Linked DNA regions of Schizosaccharomyces pombe. Changing the gene in region 1 together with any one later gene gives a genetic interaction. Each region holds a gene or a part of one and is shown on either strand. Other genes may lie near its edges.

Evidence for each region. Genes that interact genetically often act in the same process or in processes that back each other up.
Region 2: mutations in SPOM_SPAC644.09 (region 1) and vta1 together harm fitness more than expected from each alone (negative genetic interaction), as found in Schizosaccharomyces pombe (one large-scale study listed by BioGRID).
Region 3: mutations in SPOM_SPAC644.09 (region 1) and SPOM_SPAC1B3.02C together harm fitness less than expected from each alone (positive genetic interaction), as found in Schizosaccharomyces pombe (one large-scale study listed by BioGRID).

The regions. Positions count from the first base shown.
Region 1 is NC_003424.3:2,686,978-2,691,620, forward strand, and holds SPOM_SPAC644.09 (pyridoxal phosphate homeostasis protein), read left to right. Parts: upstream 1-2,666; 5' UTR 2,667-2,725; coding exon 2,726-2,794; exon of another isoform or gene 2,795-3,074; intron 3,075-3,175; coding exon 3,176-3,295; exon of another isoform or gene 3,296-3,430; coding exon 3,431-3,766; exon of another isoform or gene 3,767-3,826; coding exon 3,827-4,015; 3' UTR 4,016-4,143; downstream 4,144-4,643. Other genes in the region: bcs1 (iron-sulfur protein assembly ATPase), read left to right, coding at 1-778; utr4 (methionine salvage haloacid dehalogenase-like hydrolase), read left to right, coding at 1,218-1,286, 1,340-1,921; mediator complex subunit Med11, read left to right, coding at 4,487-4,643. UniProt on the Schizosaccharomyces pombe protein: Pyridoxal 5'-phosphate (PLP)-binding protein, which may be involved in intracellular homeostatic regulation of pyridoxal 5'-phosphate (PLP), the active form of vitamin B6.
Region 2 is NC_003424.3:2,176,031-2,181,368, reverse strand, and holds vta1 (Vts1 family protein), read left to right. Parts: upstream 1-1,831; 5' UTR 1,832-1,886; coding exon 1,887-1,989; intron 1,990-2,143; exon of another isoform or gene 2,144-2,251; coding exon 2,252-2,349; exon of another isoform or gene 2,350-2,481; coding exon 2,482-2,676; exon of another isoform or gene 2,677-3,013; coding exon 3,014-3,787; 3' UTR 3,788-4,381; downstream 4,382-5,338. Other genes in the region: mpd1 (thioredoxin family protein), read right to left, coding at 206-1,297; glycerol dehydrogenase Gld1, read left to right, coding at 5,009-5,338. UniProt on the Schizosaccharomyces pombe protein: Has a role in the formation of the multivesicular body (MVB). Required for the sorting of lipids to form intralumenal vesicles and for fluid-phase transport to the vacuole. Required for sorting several plasma membrane proteins into the MVB.
Region 3 is NC_003424.3:4,927,215-4,931,632, reverse strand, and holds SPOM_SPAC1B3.02C (Elf1 family transcription elongation factor), read left to right. Parts: upstream 1-2,087; 5' UTR 2,088-2,116; coding exon 2,117-2,182; intron 2,183-2,223; coding exon 2,224-2,270; intron 2,271-2,313; coding exon 2,314-2,384; intron 2,385-2,532; coding exon 2,533-2,672; 3' UTR 2,673-3,461; downstream 3,462-4,418. Other genes in the region: GTPase GUF1, read left to right, coding at 1-130, 282-320; cyclophilin family peptidyl-prolyl cis-trans isomerase Wis2, read left to right, coding at 618-1,688; SPOM_SPAC1B3.01C (uracil phosphoribosyltransferase), read left to right, coding at 3,715-3,813, 4,035-4,418.

The DNA of each region.
Region 1 (4,643 bases):
GGCCACTGAATGGAAGCCTTTCGGGCACCCTAGATCAAAAAGGATGCTTTCTAGTGTTGTACTTGAAAGCAATGTTAAAAAAATGATTACAGACGACGTTCATGACTTTTTACGAAATTCACAATGGTATGATACAAGAGGAATTCCATATAGAAGAGGCTATCTTCTTTATGGACCTCCTGGAAGTGGAAAAACCTCATTTTTATATGCTCTTGCAGGTGAATTGGACTACGACATATGCGTTCTAAACTTGGCTGAAAAAGGCTTAACTGACGATCGTCTCAACCATCTACTTTCTAATGTACCTCCCAAGGCAGTAGTTTTACTGGAGGATGTTGATTCTGCATTTCAAGGTAGGGAACGATCTGGGGAAGTTGGGTTTCATGCCAATGTTACATTTAGTGGGTTGTTAAATGCACTCGACGGTGTCACTTCATCAGACGAAAGGATTATATTTATGACAACTAATCATCCTGAAAAGCTTGATCCAGCTCTCGTTCGTCCGGGCCGCGTTGACGTTAAAGCATATCTTGGAAATGCTACACCTGAACAAGTTCGCGAAATGTTTACTCGCTTTTACGGTCACTCCCCAGAGATGGCTGACGATTTAAGTGATATAGTGTGTCCAAAAAATACAAGTATGGCTTCATTGCAGGGTCTTTTTGTAATGAATAAGAGCTCACCTGCTGATGCTGTTGATATGGCTAAAGAGCTTCCTGATAATCCTCCTAGTACACCTTTCTCCTTTAACGTACACAGAAAGTCTTTGTCTGTATGAAATCCCTTAGATTTATTTAACTTAAAATGTTATTCGTTTCGTAATAAGCTCTACTTATCAATCTTGACCACAAAAAAAAGACATCTTGGTAGAAACATATATTGTACGCGATTAATCTATGAATAATTAATGAATTTAAAAAATGGTTAAAAAATAACTAGTCCGTATTTTCTATTCTAAAAGACAGGCATGCATAAGATAATTATTCAAATGCATGTTCTCAATAAAAAGCTGCAAGCTGTTGAAATTCTTTTTCCATATGTTTAAGAAAGTAAAATCCAATAAAATTCCAATTGTAATCTTAAATTATTTTACGTGATGCATAGCTGAATTCGCAAAGTACTAATCCTACTTACTGCACATCTTACTTCTTTAAAGTTGCATAAAACTTGTGTCCTAAAAGAAAAGTGAGTTGTACGGCATCTCTTTATTACAAAAAATGGTTAAAAATTTGCTCTTGGATATTGAAGGGACTGTGGGTAGCATTTCATTTGTCAAAGACAAATTGGTAAGTGAAGTTTTTTATTGAGAACAATGTAGATCGTGTTTAACCCATGCTAGTTTCCATACGCTGCTTCAAGATACGAAAGTTATGTTAATGAAAATTATGAAAGTGATGAAAACTTGCGAGAACTTGGAAAAACGCCTGAAGAGGCCTTGATAAATTTACGAAAGTTGCATGCTGAAGGAAGCAAAGAACGTTCCTTCAAAATGGTCCAAGGTCGTATTTGGAAAAAAGGTTATGAAAGTAATGAACTAACTTCACACTTGTTCCCCGATGTTGTTCCTGCTATTCAACGTAGTTTGCAATTGGGAATGCGTGTTTACATTTACTCCAGTGGGAGTGTTCCAGCTCAGAAATTGTATTTCGAGCATTCAGATGCTGGAAACCTTCTAAAGTATTTCTCTGGATATTACGATACTACTATAGGGCTTAAAACTGAGTGTGGCAGTTATGTGAAAATTGTGGGAAACTCAAATCCTAGAGAATGGCTCTTCTTGAGTGACAATATCAACGAGTTGAAAGCTGCAAGAAAAGTCGGGTTGCACACCGGTTTGGTGGTTCGTCCTGGCAATGATCCTGTTGTAGACACCAGTGGATTCCCCGTGTACAATAGTTTTGAAATTTTGTTCACGGAATAAAGCAATGGTGAACCCTAACGACCGTTTCGCTTAGAACAAAGTAATGAGTTTCTTTAAAGGACATGAGTTCTTTAAAAGAATTTTGATTCTCTTGTGCTCTCATTTTCTATTTCTTTGTGTTTTTTTTTTCATGATTTCTTTGAATACATCCGAAAATTAGTCAACGCAATTTCTTCTCTTAAAATATATTGAATTATTATAATTTTTTTAACCCAATGGATTTTTGAATTGTTTCAGAAACCTTTTTTAACTATGAAACTTTTTTACCATGATTGAATATTTGTATCAATTATCTAAACATTGAGTAAAACACTCTTGTAAACTCTCCATTCGTTCAATCAACTATTTGAACTGAATTTTTTTTTTTTTTTTGATAAAATAGAAAAAGAGCGTTCTTGTTTAATATTTTCCTCTCCTGTGTACTCATTGTAAAGAAGAGAGGTTTGTCAATCAACATGGGTTACAATTCGTCGGTTTTGTAGCCAAATTAACATTAATCCTTTATTAGTGATTTCTTTTTAAATGTTTCTTAGCCATTAATGTTTATTTATTTACTTGTTTCTGTGACATATAATATCATTACCCCCATTTGGTACCTCTTCCTCCCACTTTGATCAGCAATTACTCTCTGTAAGCTTCTCCAGGTTAATAAAGTCAAGAAGAGACTATAGCTATACCCCCATATAGTACTCTTTATCCCACATTTTGTATCACTCAAAATCAATTTCAACTAAGAGACCTAAGCAGAGTAATTTAACTGTCAGGTGGATTTGACTAAGAAAGTAGTAATAGCTTTCATTCAACATGAGTACTATCCATAGCTGTTTAGATTTAATTAGAAGTCAAATCCAGCAATCTGCAAATGGCCGCAATGTAAGTTTGTATGAGTGATTTTGGTTGTTTTTTCGGGTACTTGGTAAAATTGAATTTCGGATGTCTGATCTCCAGGCGAATAAAGTCATACTGCTCAGCTAATAAGCTTCGTGAAAGATTTATTTAACTCGACGATATAATACTTTATTTTTAGGCTTATAATATTTAAGGAAATGATGCTTCGCCGAGAATAAAATGTTGCAAAGATATCTTCGATTAAAATGGGTTTATCTGAAATAGCGTTGTTTATGTCAGCTGAGGTGAAGGAAAAGATCTAAAAAAATGAATATTTTCACTTTTACATTTTTGGGATTCCCTAAAAATCTTCCAATTTCGCCTGCTGCTTTATCCATCACTAACAATTGCCTTAATGGCTTTTAGGTTCTTCTTGTAGCTGTTAGCAAGTTTCATCCTGTTGAAACCTTGATGGAAGCGTACAATGCTGGTCAAAGGCACTTTGGCGAGAATTACATGCAAGAATTTCTAAAGAAAGTAGAGTTGGTAAGTGCTAGAATGTATTATGTGTTTTCGGTAATCTATTTTTTGATGCCTACCATCTTTAAAAACACTTTTTTAAGTTAGATAATAAGTGGTTCTCATTGTTTATTTCCATTCACAAGGCTAACAGTGCCATAGATGCCCGACGACGTCCAATGGCATTTTATCGGTAGTTTACAGTCATCTAAGTGCAAGAAAATTGCATCTGTAAAAAACTTGTACAGTATTGAAACCATTGATACTGAAAAGAAGGCTCGTTTGGTAAACAGCGCTCGTGAGGCATTACAACTACCCTTAAATGTCTATATTCAAGTAAATACCAGTGGTGAGGAGAACAAGGGAGGAGTTACTCCGTCTAAAGTTCTTGAACTCTGTAAGCAAGTTCAAGACATGAAATATTTGCGACTCAAAGGCCTCATGACTATTGGCTCTATTTCCAATTCTCAATTATCTGATCACAACCCAGATTTCCAGGTAAGATTATTTCCTTTTTCTTCCTTTTTATTCATCTTTGCTCTTCCTAACGCAGTACAGGTTCTTTCAGATCTTCGTGAGTCTTTGCAAAATGAGCTCGGTATCCCTTTACAATTGTCTATGGGAATGAGTTCTGATTATCTCCTTGCTATAAAATATGGAAGCGACTCTGTTCGTGTTGGCAGTTCCATATTTGGTTCTCGTCCGACAGAAAAGCCATCAGATGTTCACATATCTGCATCGAAATGAGTTCGGATGTAGAGTTATAGATAAAAAATGCAATTTTGGCTATCCTTTTTCATTTAAAATATATTATTTTATTTTTTGCTTCTTTAATGATGATGTTACTAGATATTTGAAAATAAATACATTTTTCTAAATTTTTTAAAGTCTCGGTTTGCAATTCTATAAATTTTTAGCAAATTTAGAGATAATATTATAATTAAGGAAAAAATTGTACCAATATATATGACCAATTAATCCTAATACGTTCATTTACAACATGGCTAAGATTCGAGTGCAAGCACTTACTTCACAGCACTACACTTTTCTCTAATATCTTTTCATTTATTTTGGCTATTGGAAATTGTGGACGCAGGCGCAATCGTTCCATTAATAAATCAAACTAATTATTAAAGAATAGACGGGAATGTACGATTGAGAGTGAATACTGGATATTTAATAAATCTCTCAATAACATAAATTATCAAAATTTGAACGATGACTAATAGTGACGACGATCTTTTTAGTGAAAAATCAACATCTTCTGATACTCAGCAAGTACAAAATATCCTCGAACTTGAAGCAAAGATCCCCGACATTTTATCTTCAGCTGGAAAATGCATTGAAGCCATTCAACTAAATAATTCTCTTGAGG
Region 2 (5,338 bases), 510 kb from region 1:
ATTAAAGGAAGGAGACAAAAAGGAATTATACGAATGTATAACATCTTTATTTTAAATTAAATAAAAAATAGCTTTTAAAAGTGCTTAAGCTTCATGTAAAGGAAAGCTTCACACAAAATATAAAATGCAATGACGAGAACGAGTGAGTAGAAAGAGAGTAACATATTGTACTGCAAAGTGCAAAATTACATTACAATAAGTGTGTTTATTTAATCTTTGATAAGAGGTCATTTGGCAAAGACACTGAAGGTCCTGCTTGTTGTACTTGGATATCTTCCAACCAACGGCGTAAAGGTTTTCCATAGGGCTTAGCATTATAATGAGATTTCTTAAGACTGAGAAGAAAAGTGTCACTATAACCAAGGTCCAATGTATCTTCAAGTCTTTCGGCTACTGTTGTATTTCGACCAAGACGTACAAAGTGAAGTTTTGGGTACTTTTTCCTAATAGATTCGTCTATTCCAGAATCCGAGTCCTTATCCTGAATTGTAATAATGCAGGATTTTTTTGAGCAAAAAGTTGCTAAGTATTCTGAAAAATTATTATCTTTAATTGAAGATTGTAAAAATTCAACAATAGAATCCCGATTTAAGGAATTTGAAAAAAAAGATGTTCCATTGTTGGGGTGTTTTATGAATAATATGGGTAAATCGGAGGTGTCAACATACGCAGAAATATTGAAAAGATCATTCACATTAGCTTTTGCAGGCATAAATGAAAAAGGTAAGCTCGAGAACTCATTTGAAAGAGATTTGTACAGCAAAGTCGGCTTCATTTTTTGAGAAATGAGAATTACCTTAGAGGAGTTTTGAGCATCTTGGATGAATTTTTGAGTTTTTGCCTCAGAAGTCAAAATTTTGACTTTACTGGGAATAGAATCAGAGACGAATTTTTGGAGAGACTTGTAACTTCGATCACCGTTGTAATCAGTAGAGGAAAGAGAAGATCCTTTGGAAGATGGATAAACCAACTTTATAGTGGGAAAGCCCTGTACCTGGTATTGAGAGCAAACGGCCCTATTCTGATCAGCATCACAATCGACAGCAGTAACCGGCAAGAGTGAATGTAGATTGCTGGCTAATTTTTGGTAAGTAGGTACAAGCTTTTTGCAATAACCACACCACGGAGCATAAAAGACAACTAAAGATGGGCCCTTTGCTTTTACAAATTTACGAAAATTTTTGGAATTTAACTCAATCGTGTTGGATCCAAACATTGGTGAGTAGCCAAAGACGCCGGATACAAGGCTGAAGCAAGCCAAAAAGAGCGTAAATAAAGTTGGAATACGGAAGAGCATAATGATGTGTAGTTTGTCCAGCGTATTTTTAAGGGTAGTAAGGTGAATGAAAGAAAGGAAAATGAAAATCGAAGAAATAAAAAAAAATAGAAACCGTTTGGCGAAAATGAAATAAGAAATACGTCCTAGCTACAAATGATCGATGCAATGGGAAGTAGTTGGTGAATGGAAAAATCGAGAGGTTTACGGCGACAACCACTTTAGTGTGAGGTTTGAGTGAGCATATGTCACGAGAAAATTTAGAAGAAATAATAGGTTTTAGTCAATCAATGAGTTATAAGGCTTATTGAAATCATCATTTTGATATAGAATAGGTAGAGTATGTCAAGACACTAGAAAAATCTGAATAGCGGGGCACAAAAAATGCACGATGAAAACGATGCGACTTGATTCCCCTCAAATGAAAAGAAAGTGTTTGTACGTCAAAACTATTAGTACTAGAGTTTTTTGAATAATTGACTTGATGGTTTTAATACTTGAGTAGACCTAACCTTCATCTACCTTTTTATATCATGTAGCTGGTATCTGTAATCCACCAACTGTCAAACCAAAAGTACAGAAACTTGAAAGGAGAGATATTTGACAAAATATGATACAAATAGATACTATACCGAAGGAATTACAATCCATTCAACCGTTTGTGAGACGATTCAATGAACTTGAGGCACACAATCCTGTCATAGCTTATTGGAGTAAGTGTTTAGTAGCTAAGTGATGAATTTGTAATATGGAAGGGTGTATGAAAAAAAAAATTGGAGAAAGAAAAATATAAAATAATAAAAAAATAACTTAAACCTTTTTTCTCTCTTGTTTACGTTGATGAAGTTTTCATAGTCTACATTTCGCTAGAGGGAATACTACTTTCCATAATACACCCTATTATAAGCACAAAGGAATTTGTTTCATCATTCGAGATATTCATTTGCTTGATTCACTAACTTGTACTATTACTAGGTCTATACTGGGCAGCTCAAATGGCGCTTTCCAGCTCACACGGTGTTTCCAACGAATGCAAGGATTTCCTGCTGTCACTCATTGAGCATTTAGAAGATGTAAGTTTAGAAAACATCCTTTTCCTTTTTTTAAATGTTGGCGAGGGTTTTTTCTCTTTTTTTTTTTTTTTGGATTACGAGACCAACTATGTAAATGTTTCTGTGGTACTAACCGCTCTATGGCGTGTGTAGTTACGTAAAAATTTGGGCGAGAATGAGAATGTGAGTGACGAGACTAGTGCAAAGGCGTATGTTGAATCGTTTTCCCTAGAAGTTCTTGTCCAGGCCGAAAGAAATAGCAAAAACGGGAAACCAGATGTGCAAGCGTATTTGGCAGCCCGAGATTTTCTAGAGTTGTCGAGAATCTGGGGACCACCTACGGAACAGGTACGTGAGTCAAAAACAGCGAGAGCAAGTGAGACGGAATGAAAAAGAGTAACGAGCAGAACTTAGGAGAAAAAAAAAAGAAAACCACGATCAACAAAAATGAAAAAATGAAGGTTCTTTGGAAATTTTTTTATTTTTTATTTTTGTTTTGTCAAAAACAAAATCGTCTTTTCCAATTCACATTACCATGTGTTTTTTTTTTCGACTCGTTTCTTCTTTTGCCATTCTGAGGATTTCCTTCCTATCGGTATTTTTCTCTCTCGTTTGTATTATACAACGATGCTTTATGATGCTTATAACGATTTTTTGTTCCCTACTAACCCCTATTGCTACGTAGATTACCAAGTCAATCAAATTTTGCAAGTTACGTGCGCTCCAAGTCGCAAATCCCCAACGAAAGGCCAAAACACCCTCAAACCACGCGACCGAGGAGTTACAGCAATCTTCCACAAATTCCACAACCCTACCTACGCAAGAAGCCGCCGTTGAAACGAATGCCTCTGCTTCTCATGAAACATCTTTTGCTCTCCCCACTACATCTCCAGCAGCATCGCTCTCCATCTCTCCTACAAAGTCTGCAGCCGTATCTTCCGAGCCTAATGTAGAAGCAGACGTAAAATCGTTGTCTTCAACACCGGCTGCTCCACAACTAAATTCACCTTCCCATTCATATGAGCCTACCACGTTCCCCTCAACTACATCAATAACCGAAAATTTGCCAACAATAGATCCTACTCGTTCCACTCGCTCTTCCTCGCATATCCAAAGTTTATCTCCTGAGTCAAAGCAAACATCAGATGGGCATCGGCCTCCCTCCCCTACGTCAATCACCACCACCTCCACCTCCATCGATCCGTCAGTAGCATTTTCCAGCAAGTCAACTTTAGCCACAACAAGAACAAATGCCCCTCTATCAAGGCCATCTCAACCGACTAAAGCCTCCCCCTTGAACAAGTTTTCCGCCTTGGAGGCTATCCAATCTGCTCGAAGTCATGCACGCTATGCATACAGTGCATTAGACTACGAAGACACAACGACAGCCATTCATCATCTAAAGTCGGCACTAAAACTTTTGGAGGAAGAGGAGCAGGGAAATCATACTGCAGACTAGAGGAAGAATGCTGGGGCTGGAATGGAGGGGATCTCAATGAGACAATGGGAAAAGGTGGGGCAGATACCAGTAAAATTATCTATCCATCTTGGGGAGAAACAATCTAATTGTACCACTCTCCCCACTATTCGTCTCTCTTAATGTTTGTTTATTTGTTTGTTTTTTTTTTATCCACTTTTTTTTCTTCAAATGCTTTCTAATTGTAGCAGGACCCCGCCTTTCTCTCCACTCTTCCCATTTTCCCTCGCCGTTGAGTGGCACTGCTCATCCCTGTCTCCTCATTTTTTGTCGCGTCATTTTAGCGAGCGTTTATTAAGGAACTGGCGAATGACTGCTGTTGTATATATTTCCCCAGATTTTCAGCAAGTAAGCTTTTGTCTTGTACTGCATACCACGTTGTCTTTCTTGCCCCTATGACGCAGTTATGAGACCAACGAGTCATGGGTTTATCCTGCCTCATCTTTTGTTACGTTATTTTCCTGTCTGCTTGGGTTTGGCTTCCGCAGTGGGGAACTGGCAATTGCGGTGGATATGTGTGGTGTCATCGCCCTCTCATCAAGTTTATATGTAGAGGGGCAGCGCTGAATTCTTTGCTCTTGGTTATTGCTTTCGCAGTTTTCCATATTTCCCCCATCCATCCATCCATCCATCCACCTCTTCTCTTCTCTTCTTTTTTTAACAGAATTGCTTTTTCCATTGTAAAATAAAACCATAGCAAGTTTTCACTACCACTTGGGTTTTTTTTTCTTTTCTTTAATTATTTTTTTAATCAACTTTCGTTGCTTTAATTTTTAAATATTTTTTCTCTTTTCATTCTTCCTACTCTTCCCGTTTACCGTCGATCGGCTGATTCTAGTTTTGACAATCACCATTGACTACGTCGATCCCTTTTTTTTTGGCCAGCCGAGATCATATATCCCGTTCATTCTTGGAACTTTCGTGATCTTTCGACTGTCTATTGATTCCGCAAACAAGTATATATATACACATATAGTTGTTTTTTCTTTTTGGACCTCTGTTCCATTGCGTTTCTCTCCTTCTTAGTTACTTGTGCTTCTTTACCTATTTCCTTTTTCTTTTTAAATAAGGATTCTTCTGTATCGAAATAAATTTCAAGAAAGGTAAGAACCGTTCCACACGCCTATTCTTGTATTTCTCTTTTCTTCGATTTGATTCGATTTCTATTCGTAACGCTTAGCTAGTCTTTGAACTTCCTTCATAATGATTGGTCCTCGTCTTTGCGCTGCAACCCCTCGCTTCCCTCTCGTTTCCCTCGCCCACAGGAACTCTAAAGTATTTGCGCTCGCCTCTTCCAATGCCGTTGCACAACGTTGGGGCAAACGCTTTTATGCTCCTATTGAAACGGAGACGCCTCACAAAGTTGGTGTAGAGTTTGAAGAATCCAAAGATCGCATTTTCACCTCTCCTCAAAAGTATGTTCAGGGTCGTCATGCCTTCACTAGATCCTATATGTATGTCAAAAAATGGGCCACTAAATCAGCTGTCGTGCTTGCCGACCAGAACGTATGGAACATTTGTGCCAATAAAATT
Region 3 (4,418 bases), 2.2 Mb from region 1:
GGCTCTTCGAAAAAATGTCACAGCAAAATGCTACGGGGGAGATGTAACAAGGAAGCAAAAGCTACTTAATAAGCAAAAGGAAGGGAAAAAGAGATTGAAGTCAGTTGGAAATGTTTCAATTGACAAATCGGTAAGTAATTACATTGCCTGAAGACTTCATCGAAATATGTTTTAAAACTATTAGGAAACACAATTTTGTGTTTTAAAATTTAAATACATTGTTGACTTCACTCAACAGCACTTATATTTCTTTATAGTCCGTGTGTGCTAACTTAAATCAGGTATTTTATGAATTTTTAACGAAGAAGCAATCTAATTGAAAAAAGTATAAATATTTTTTGGTCTAATAAAAAGTCAAATTTTCTTCTGCTAGCATTTTTTTAATACAGTATGTTTCTAGAAGTTTCGTAGAAAATCTCTTCGCAGTAGGTTGCAAATATAAATCACCACCTTTTTAATAACTAAAACTAAATAGTTTGCACAGATCTGTATATTTCGTCTGCGTAAAATCGCTATTCATTCTTCTTCTTAAAGCAACTTTGTGGTGTGAATACACTGAGGAGACTGGCAGTGAAATATCATTACTTAAAAACGATCATTGTTTTTTTTTGCACGAAATGAGTACTTACGCCTATTTTAAAATTAGCATTGATGGTAAAATTCAACCAACAATCTACTTTGAACTTTTCGACAACGTAGTTCCCAAAACTGTCAAAAACTTTGCTTCGTTGTGTAATGGGTTTGAGAAGGATGGCCGTTGTTTAACCTACAAAGGTTCAAGGTTCCATCGAGTAATTAAGAACTTTATGCTTCAAGGTGGTGACTTTACTCGTGGTAATGGAACGGGTGGAGAAAGCATCTACGGCGAGAAGTTTGAGGACGAGAACTTTGAGCTCAAGCATGATAAGCCTTTCTTGCTTTCCATGGCCAATGCCGGCCCTAATACCAATGGATCTCAGTTCTTCATTACTACTGTTCCCACCCCTCATTTGGATGGAAAGCATGTTGTTTTTGGCAAGGTAATTCAAGGAAAATCTACTGTTCGTACCATTGAAAATTTGGAGACCAAAAATGACGATCCGGTTGTACCTGTTGTTATTGAAGAATGTGGAACTTGCACAAAGGATCAGATTGAGGCACCAAAGCCAGACGTTACTGGTGATTCTCTGGAAGAATTTCCTGATGATTACGAGGGTGATAAGTCCGAGACTGCCATTTTCAAAATTGCTAGCGACTTAAAGGGAATTGCTAACAAGCAATTTGCTCAGCAAAATTTGGATACAGCCGTTGCCAAATGGCAAAAAGCTTTGCGCTACCTAATGGAATACCCTGTTCCCAACGATGACTCTAAGGAATCCCCTGATTTCTGGAAAGAGTATAATGCTTTACGATACAGCATATACGCAAACCTTGCCCTTGTAGCTTTGAAGCAGAACAAACCTCAGGAAGCTATTCGAAACGCCAACATTGTAATTGAGGCCAGTAACTCTACTGAGTTAGAGAAACAGAAAGCATACTATCGTTTGGGTTGTGCTCAAGGTCTCTTGAAGAATTTTGAAGAATCAGAGAAAGCACTTGCTAAGGCTGGTAACGATCCTGCAATTTCAAAGAAGCTTGCAGAAATTCGTCAAAAGAAAAAAGATTATAAGAAGCGCCAACAAAAGGCCTATGCTAAGATGTTTCAGTAATTCCAAATTAATCGGCGTCACGTGAATGCTGAGAAGTCAATTATGTTTTACGTTAATTTCTAGTTAGTCAATGAGAGTTTTATCGCATTTACAAAATAACCATAGAAGGTCAACTACGTTGCGAGAAAGAGTGCAAGATTTACTTATGGAGGATCTGGCTTCGTTTGTAAGACTGGTATGCCTACGTTTGCGTTTCATACAGCAAAGTATCATCATGAATAGAAAGAACTCTAGAAACAAATGTGCATCAGTAAACTCAATAAGAATATCATATTTAAACATTTAATTCATTAAAATTAAATAAGACCGTCTCTTACCAAGTGTCGAAATTACATGAGTTTCCGCATTACCCTTCCTAAGGATGAGAGTGCTAATGTGAACCCGCTAATACGAATCTGCAGTTTGCAAAACGTAAACAGATTCTGCAAATGGGTAAAAGAAAAGCAAAAGCAAAAGTGAAACCCAAAAGAAGGGCACCCCCATTAGATACGACTGTGAGTTATAGTTTAATTACGAAATTTACTAACTTTACTAGTTTACGTGCCTATTTTGCAACCACGAAAAAAGTGTGAGCTGTAGTCTGTATGCTTATTAACTACTTTCATTTTTTTTAACACTTTGATAGTGATAAACAATCAGGAGTTGGAAATCTACACTGCAAAATTTGTGGTCAGAGTCATCAATGTCTAATTACAGGTATGAAAGAGGTGTTTTATTTCAATAGCGGCACGTAAATTATTACGATTAATATTGCGGTTAATTTCTTTTATATCGTCTCTTTATCTTCTTATTTCTTGTTCTTTTATGAAATTTTCTTGTACACTTATTTACTAACATTATCAAGCTCTTTCGGCACCCATCGACGTATACAGCGACTGGATTGATGCTTGTGATGCTGTTGCAAATCAAGCTAAAGAGGTTGATAATATAAATGATCAAGAAGCCTATTCCCCTGAAGCAGCTTATGAGGAAGAAAAGGAATGATTTTTTGCTATTGGCCTAACTTGCAAAAGGAAGATTCTTTTCAGAGCTTAAATGTTGAAAGTTTCCGTTCATTTATGGTGATCTTATTTTCGTTGATGCTCAGTCGTTTCAATTAAGAGATTTCTCTGAAGCGATAAGAAGGTATTAACTACATTGCAATGAACAAGACGCTGTATTTGGCAAAACCGGACGAGCTTAGTGTATACAAATCTAGGCATGCTCTTGTATATATTTGTCCTTTTTAAAGACGTCGAACATACGAATTTCGAGATTCCATCTGATGAACCGACAATTGGACGATAGTGTTAAGCTTATTTGTTGGTATTCGGATGTACCATCAATATGGGTGTGATATCTTGCTCATTGGCAAGATAGCCATTTCATTGCTTTGTTTTTGGTTTGGTAGAATCGCTGTTCACTATGACAGGCTAAGAATTACGAGTGCCTAGAGTGTGGTTGACTTCGACCTTGTACTTATTGTATTCTCCATGTACAAAAAATGTCTAGAATGAAAGAGATATGAAAATATGTTCATGTGTTCTTACTGCATTTGATTTAAAAATCCTTACAATACAACTCATTTCTTGGTTTCTTGTGAATACAGTTGGATGAATTGAGAATTACAAGTAAAAAACATTGAAATCCAATTAAGATTGTAAGCTGCATGGAGTCCAATTGTATGAATGTGTGCTTCAAAAATTTGTACTGTCTTTCTCATTCTTAAATATAAGCAGTAATTCATTTAAAAACATCAACTTGCCCTAAAATATGTTCAATAGTTAATTGATATTCTTATTTAATTTTGCCAAGCCTGCTAGAGTAGAAATCTTTTACTGCGCTAAGTAACGCATTAATCATAATTATGTTATTATGAAATGATGTTGTAAATCTTTATTTATGTTTAACGAAATATACTAAGGTTGATAAAACTCATTTTGCTATTGATAGCTTAAAAGCAAATGTGTTATTGTGCTTTTACTTTTTACCATTTACTTGGTAAACAACTTGATAGGTAGATATTTAAGCATACATCGTCAAAAAGATGTCGCTGGTACCTGAGCATGGAAATGTGTACGTACTAAATCAGACAAATCAATTAAAAGGGTTGTTTACCATCATTCGTGATAAAACGAAACCTCGTGTATGCGCGTTCAGTTTACAACAGATTACTGAGTCAAGGTCTAAGAACTAATTGAAATGAATGTGTTAATATGTCCAAGAAATTTTAGCTTTTTCCTCTATTAATGGGGAGATAAATGTTTATCAGTGGATGATAGGAAGCATTCATTATCAGTTAGTACATTCGACAACTTCTCGTGTATTCTTTGTTGAATCTGTTATCCCTGCTAACATGATATTTAGTCTGAATTTATTTTTTATGCCAATAGAATCATTCGTTTAATTGTTGAAGAGGGCCTCAACCACTTGCCAGTGTCTTCAGCTAAGGTAACGACTGCTCAAAATGCTGAATACGAGGGTGTAATGTTTGATGGTCGTATTTGCGGCGTTAGCATTATGAGAGCTGGCGAAAGTATGGAACAAGGATTGCGTGAATGCTGTCGTTCTGTTCGTATTGGAAAAATTTTGATACAGCGTGATGAGGAAACTCATAAACCTGTGTTACACTACATCAAGCTTCCCGAAGATATTTCTAAACGCTATGTCTTACTTTTGGACCCCATGCTAGCCACTGGTGGCTCTGCTATTTGTGCTATGGAAATTCTTATCAACATGGGTTGCAAACAA